Linked DNA regions of Sus scrofa. The protein of the gene in region 1 interacts with the protein of each later gene in a biochemical or structural test. Links are inferred from orthologs where the notes say so. Each region holds a gene or a part of one and is shown in the gene's direction. Other genes may lie near its edges. The genes, in order: RNH1 and ANG.

What was found.
Region 2: the proteins of RNH1 (region 1) and ANG are reported together in a solved structure, tested with the Homo sapiens proteins (3 studies listed by BioGRID and IntAct, with this or other methods). The link is inferred for Sus scrofa from reciprocal best matches to the Homo sapiens genes RNH1 and ANG.

Annotation. Positions count from the first base shown.
Region 1 is NC_010444.4:283,598-288,100, reverse strand, and holds the start of RNH1 (ribonuclease inhibitor), read left to right. Parts: upstream 1-1,698; 5' UTR 1,699-1,712; coding exon 1,713-1,950; intron 1,951-2,259; coding exon 2,260-2,365; intron 2,366-3,556; coding exon 3,557-3,727; intron 3,728-3,952; coding exon 3,953-4,123; intron 4,124-4,451; coding exon 4,452-4,503. UniProt on the Homo sapiens protein: Ribonuclease inhibitor which inhibits RNASE1, RNASE2 and angiogenin (ANG). May play a role in redox homeostasis. Required to inhibit the cytotoxic tRNA ribonuclease activity of ANG in the cytoplasm in absence of stress.
Region 2 is NC_010449.5:78,248,908-78,251,513, reverse strand, and holds ANG (angiogenin precursor), read left to right. Parts: upstream 1-1,373; 5' UTR 1,374-1,375; coding exon of another isoform or gene 1,376-1,393; coding exon 1,394-1,837; 3' UTR 1,838-1,838; downstream 1,839-2,606. UniProt on the Homo sapiens protein: Secreted ribonuclease that can either promote or restrict cell proliferation of target cells, depending on the context. Endocytosed in target cells via its receptor PLXNB2 and translocates to the cytoplasm or nucleus.

The DNA of each region.
Region 1 (4,503 bases):
GAGAGGGCCGGGAAGCGGGGGCCAGGGGCCCCGCGGCGTTTGGGGTCAGTTAAAACTCCGCTGATGTTCCGGGCCAGCACCCTGACCGCGCGGCGGAGGGTTCCCGGGCCCGAGAAGGGAGCAGGGCCCGGGGCGCCAGGAGCCCTCTCCGCGCGGCGTCCGAGCGGCCCCCGCCGGGCCCCGCGCTGACCCCCGGCCTCCGGACACATGCGGAGTCTCGGGTGGGCGCGGAGGTGGCCCTGGAGCCCGGCGCGCCGCTGCCCCCTGCCTCTCACGGGTAACCGTGCTGCGCCGAGCGGGGGCGGGCCGGCGACGCGGGCGCTGCCCCCGGGAAGGCGGAAAGACGCGGCTCGCACGCCGGCGCCGCTCCGCGCTGAGGCCCATCCCTTCTGGAAGCAATTAATGGGGCCTTGTTGAGACCCTGGCCCGGTGCCTGGGCCTAGGGAGCGGCTCCGCTGGTGGAGCTCCCGGTTCTCAGCGAGGCATTGGGCTAGACACGTGCCTGTTCCTACCCAGACCGGGTCCCCTAACTGGTGGCTTGTGAGGATGGTTGTACACGCAGCACCTTTGGAGGATGTTAACTTTTTCACGGACCCTCAAAGGGATCAGTCACCAGGAGGCTCAGAAGTGTCCTCCTGGCCCCGAGGGTCAAGCAAAGGGGAGCCCCGGGGCCTAGTCGGGTCTGTGGTTCTCTACCCTGGACACTGCGTCCCCTAATGTCACGTGGGATTCAGGGAGAGGGCGCAGCTCCAAGGGAGCTATTGGGGCTGGAGATCCTAAGTGGATCCCCCCCTCAATGGGTCGGAACCAGCGAGTCCCCCTCCTGAGCCTTTCCGGTGGTGACTGAGGATTCTGAGTCAGGGTTTGGGTGACCACGCCCTGGGTCAGGAAGGGCAGGGCCGGGTGGCCTCTGCCAGTGATGGCTGTTGACGGGCCAGCTACCTCCGCCTTGGCCTTGGTTTCTCAGCAGGCCCATCCGTTAGGATGAGCAAGCCGGAGTCTTGCTGTTGGTTGGCAGCAGGGGTCTCCTCCACCCAGCAGGACTGTAACTTCAGCCTTGGCCTGGGGTGGCCCTCCGCCCTGCTGTGGGCTCCCAACCAGACGGGGGTGCGGGGGGTGGGGAAGCCCCCCTTTAGCAAGGCCTGGGCCCGCCAGGCATGGACGCAAACCTGAGTGAGGTATCATTCTCAGGAATCCAGGTTTCAGGGGCTGAGGGGGAACCCCCGGGGGGTCTGAGTCATCCTGTTGGAGCCTGGGGTCGCTGTGCCCAGGCAGAGCCTTTACTTCCTACTTGCTTCTGAATGAAGCCCTGCCCCCAGGCACTTTCCCCGCCCCAGCACCAGGCTGCCCGGGGGTTCCTCTCCCGCTGGCCCCCTGCCTGGGGCCCTGGTTCCTCTTTGGTTCAGGCTCCGTGCTGGCCCAGGTGAGGTTTCAGGGCCTGTGATCTCCCGTTCCAGGCCTGCCAGCCAGACGTCTCACTCTTTTCTCAGCCTCCTTGGTGAGCTGGCGCAGAGGACCTGCCCTGTGTGGGCGATCATGGAAGCAGACAGCCCCAGTGGCCACCCAGAGTGCTGGTCACTGGACCCGTGGCCCCACCCACCTGCTCTGTCCCGTCCAGGGCACCTATTGTGGCGCCCCTGGGAACGGTCACCTGACCACAGGCACCTGCCCCTCCCATCCGCTGCTCCAGGGGTGAGGCCTCAGGTGCCGGCATGCTGGGAGGGGGTCTGGCTTTGTGGCCACCTGGCCGGTGCAGTCCTCCGTTCTTAGAGGGGAGGCTGCGCAGGCACCGAGTTTGCTTAGCACTTCCCGGATTGAGGCCCCTGTGCCCACCTGCCTGGGGTCTCCACACTGTCCAGGCCCACAGCCCACCCCCCGCCGCAGCCCAGGCCAGTTGGAAGCAGAGCTTTGGGTGGCGAGTGCTGGTTTCAACTTCCTCCCAGGCAGGAGGTGCCGCATAGGCCGGGTGCGGGGCGCTGGCCGCTGAGAGAGGCCTCCGTCTGTCCCCAAGCCCTGCCGTCCCTGGTGGTCTTTGCTGGGGGGCCCAGTGGGCACAGCGTCCCTCTGCCCACCCCTGTTTTTGCTCCCAGAGGCTGGCGTGGATGAAGGTGCTGCAGAACGGAAACGAAGCAGCAGGGCCGGGCTCTGGCTTCTGAAATGTTGGCCCCTGGATCCTGTTTGGAACCCCCCACCTTGTCTGCGGACCTCTGCCCAGTCCAGCCTGCGCTGGGCTGACACGTTCCCCCCGCCTCTGTCTAGGAAGCACCCCACCTCCCGGCATGAATCTTGACATCCACTGCGAGCAGCTGAGCGACGCCCGGTGGACAGAGCTCCTGCCGCTGCTCCAGCAGTATGAGGTGGTCAGGTAGGAGCCCCCAGGCTGGCGGCCCCGCGGCCAGCACCTCCCGCTAACATCAGTTACAGCGGCGCGATGTCAACTGTGGGGTGTCTCGTGTGGCACGAAATACTACTCTTTTTGTCCTTTTTCCACCCATTTGAATGTGTGTTCCCCCTTGGTCCAGGCCTGGTGAGCAGGGCAGGGGTCTCCAGCTCGTCCCCTGGCTTCTGCTGTTGAGGGTCTCAAACCGAGACTTTCCTCAGGGCTCGGAGGCAAGAGATGAGTGCTTGCCTGCTTGCTTCTCTTTTTAACTTATTTGAAAGTTGTAGGTTGGCCGAAGCATCGTGAAAGCGGTGCAGGGGCCCCTGGGTGCCGTCACCCGGGGCGCCGTTCCAAGCAGAGTCCAAGCTCACGTGCCCAGCTTTTCCAGGTCCTGCAGACCCCTGGTCTCCAGGGTCCCTCCTTGTCCTTGGCCGCCTGCCTCTGGAGTCCGCTCGGGCTCTGGCACCCGAGTCCCTCTGACATGGTTGAGTCACACGTTCATGGCAAAAAGCTAACAGCCACGTGCTGGGCTGCCCGGCATGGTGTCTCGTGGGCTCTGTCATCACAGCGGTGCCACACGCTCACCCCCGTGGTCCCCTGTGACCACCTGGTGAGGCGGTGCCCGCCAGATGTCCACTGTAGTTACTGGGTTCCCTCTGTTAGTGACAAGCGCCGCCTTGCGAACCGCCTTCCAATTCTGCCGACACCGTTTCTGCGCAGACTGTCTCCTGATCTTTGCGTCCATCGGGGGTCTTGCCAGGGCAGCATCACCGGGCCTTTGCTCCGCTGGGCGTTTGAATCTCTTCATTCCGTCCACGTGTGTGGACTGTCGTTCTGTAAGGGCGGGCTTTGCCCCCTCCTGTGTTGACTCGGTTTTCACTTGATGGGGCGGCTGTGGTCCTGGGGCCTGCTCTGGTATGTTCCATGCTGGCCGCGCTGAGCCCTCTAGGTGGGCGCTTCCCTCTGCAGCGCTGGCTCGTCCAGGTGGCTTCTCTCCTGGCGGAGAGAGCAGCCTGCACCTGCCGACCGCCCCGCGGTCAGACGCGTTTGCCTGCCAGGATCCTGGAGCTTTTCTCAGGTGACCCCCGTGCTTTTTCCGTTGGGCTTGAGGTGTGTTGGCGGTGACGCACCTCGGCGGGTCCCAGCCTGCCGTGTGAAACGCCCGTCTGTCCGCAGGCTCGACGACTGCGGCCTCACGGAGGAGCACTGCAAGGACATCGGTTCTGCCCTCCGGGCCAACCCCTCCCTGACCGAGCTCTGCCTCCGCACCAACGAGCTGGGCGATGCCGGCGTGCACCTGGTGCTGCAGGGCCTGCAGAGCCCCACCTGCAAGATCCAGAAGCTCAGGTGAGCCTGCCAGCCCTTCATCCCACCCCGGGCGAGGCTCGGGCCCACGGCAGCCCTCCTGTCCTTCCTGGGCCCTTGGGCGCGTCGCGGCCGTGTCGCAGCCCCTCCTGCAAGGCCCGGCAGCCTGGCCTCCCCACGGGCGGGGGGCTGTGTCCGCCTCACCCGGCTCCTGCTGAGGGCTGGCCCGCCTTGCGTGGGAGCCCCGCTGACAGCCGCACGCTCCAGCCTGCAGAACTGCTCCCTGACCGAGGCGGGCTGCGGGGTCCTGCCCAGCACGCTGCGCTCCCTGCCCACGCTGCGGGAGCTGCATCTCAGCGACAACCCACTGGGGGACGCCGGCCTGCGGCTGCTCTGTGAGGGGCTCCTGGACCCCCAGTGCCACCTGGAGAAGCTGCAGTGAGTGTGCGCCCCCTTCCCCTAGCTAGGCAGCCCCCCGCCCCAGCCCCTGGGTTTTGGTTGAGGGTCTGCCCTGGGCGAGCCCCCTCCCCCCTCACTGGCTGCAGGGAGCTTGGAGGAGGGGGCTCTTGGGGTCCCACAGGCACTGCTGCTCCCTTTGGGTGTGCGGATGGGGTTGGCCGCAGAGGAAGGAAGCCTGGCAGAGGAGCCTCAGGTCTCTCTGCGGTGTCTCTGGGCTCGGCCCCCGCTGTGCCATCCCCGCCCGGCAGCCCGCCGGCCTCGGGGCCTCACGGCCAGGGTGAGGCGCTGACCGCCGGCCCGTCCCCAGGTTGGAGTACTGCCGCCTGACGGCCGCCAGCTGCGAGCCCCTGGCCTCGGTG
Region 2 (2,606 bases), on another chromosome or scaffold:
GATTGAAACTGCTCTCACTGTTCTCTTCACAGTTAACTGAGTGATTGATAGATACGTGGAATCTGTTCTCTGATTACCCTCTTCCCTGGGTTCAAGTTTCTCTAAAAGTCCTCTTCTTCAGATCTCTCCCCTCCTATCTAACTCAGTCTCATCTCAACAAATTGCTGCTCCCATCCCTTCCCCATGGATGCTACATCCTCTATTAGGGAGGAATTTGGTGTGTCTTAATGGTCTTTGGGTTCCAGGACCTCACACAGTGGCTGGTACCCAGTAGGGGTTTGTGTAAAGTTTGTTATTAAATTAGTTAATAGTTTGGTCTCTCTAGTGACCAGCTCCCATCCAGGAGCCTCCAGGAACCCACCAATTGCCTCATTAGAACCAAAGATGCTCCAAGTGCGCTCATCTTTAGGAATTTATAGATGTTTCAGAAGCCCTGTGCTGGGAACTGGGGGCAGAGACCAATATGTCTTTCTTTTCTTTTCTTTTGATTTGCTGGAATATAGTTGACTTACAAAATTGTGTTAATTTCAGGCATATAGTAGGGTGAATCAGTTATGTGTATACATGTATCCATTTCTTTTCAGTTTCTTTTCCCATACATGTTATTTCACAGTATTGAGTGGATTTCCCTCTGCTACATACAATAGGTCCTGTCACCTGTCTATTTTATGTATAGTAGAGTGTATATATCCATCTCAACTCCCTAATTTATCCCTCCCCCCACATTTCCCCTTTGGTAAACATAAATTTGGTTTCAAAAATAAATAAATAAGGGAGTTGCCTTTGTGACTCAGTGGTTAACAAACCTAGCTAAGATCCATGAGGATGCGAGTTCAATCCCTGGCCTTGCTCAGTGGATAAAGGATCCGTCATTGCTATGAGCTGTGGTGTAGGTCACAGATGAGGCTCGGATCTGGTGTTGCTGTGGCTGTGGCATAGGGCAGCAGCTACAGCTCTGATTTGACCCCTAGCCTGGGAACTTCCTTATGCCACAGATGCAGCCCTAAAAAGCAAAATAAATAAATAAAATTTTAAAAATAATAAAATAAATAAGTACATTAGTTAATAAATGAATTAAAGAATGTGAATGGATTTTGTAATGCTGCAACTGATAGGTAAATTCTCAGTGACCCTAAGGGCTAAAAAGAGTGATTGGGACTGTATGTCGTGTTTAGGAAACTTGTAAATAGACATTCCGAAAGAATTGATTGACGAGACACATGAGACTAATGAGGAAAGGAAAAAAAAGATATATTTAGATGCTGGAGGATACCTGATTCATAATGCTCTGCCAGAGAGAAAAGTCCCTGACCCTTTAGACGCCTTGGGCCATGCTGTTCAGTGCCCCTACCATTTCTCCTTTTGCCCTTGGCAGGAGCCTTTGTTGGAAGAGATGGTGATATTGCTGGGCCCCCTGCTGTTGGTCTTCATGCTGGGTCTGGGTCTGGCCCCGCTGAGCCTGGCTAAGGATGAAGACAGGTACACACACTTCCTGACCCAGCACTACGATGCCAAACCAAAGGGCCGGGATGGCAGATACTGTGAAAGCATAATGAAGCAACGAGGCCTGACCAGACCCTGCAAAGAGGTCAACACCTTTATTCATGGCACGAGGAATGATATCAAGGCCATCTGTAATGATAAGAATGGAGAGCCTTACAACAATTTCAGAAGAAGCAAGTCTCCTTTCCAAATTACCACTTGCAAGCATAAGGGAGGGTCCAACCGGCCTCCATGTGGGTACAGGGCCACAGCAGGGTTCAGAACCATAGCTGTTGCCTGTGAAAATGGCTTGCCTGTCCACTTTGATGAGTCCTTTATCATTACAAGCCAGTAGCCCAGATCTGGCTCTGCTCTTCTTTCCTTGCTTTGGATCCCCCAGACACCCCCACACGCCTACTCCAGCCCCCGCCACCAGCCTTCCACCGAATAGTGGTGGCAAGATTCATTGCCAGTGGTCTAGAAAATAAGGTGTCTGATCTTTCATTTTCTGTTCTACAATATGTTCAATAAATAAAAACATGTCTGAAAGCAGTAAGAATCAAAGTTTTCTTTGATTCTTGGCCTATCATTCTTTCCACGTTTTCTCTATTCAGCTGCCGCCGCCTGAGTGTTAGATGGAATAGAAACGCCTTTTTCCTTATCAGTGAGGTCCTTATCAGGCATTAGGGAGGGGGACTTTACCTTTCTGTGAAGGTAAAACTGTTAAATTCCAGGGCTCAAGGCCACTAAGCATAACTTTTAGGAGGAGCAAATTGTTTTACTGTCACCTAATAAGACAATATTACTTTTATAAATGCTCAGCCTTAGGAAGAAGAGTTTTGGACTAAATACTAACAAATTAATGATACACACACACATTTGTAATCCTGCATGAATACCAAAATCCATTCAGGGTAACTACCTCTTACCTTAAGCAGAAAGTAATCTGATAATACTTTGAATGGAATTCTCCCAGGATGTTCTCATATTTCTCTTTAATCTTTTATCAGTTGATGTCCGGCAACTCAGAGTTCTTAAGGAGGTCATAGAAAGATTCCAAGCTTATCCTTTATCCTTTTTCTACTGGATATGTTTTCAAGCAAATATAAACTTGGATTAACAGA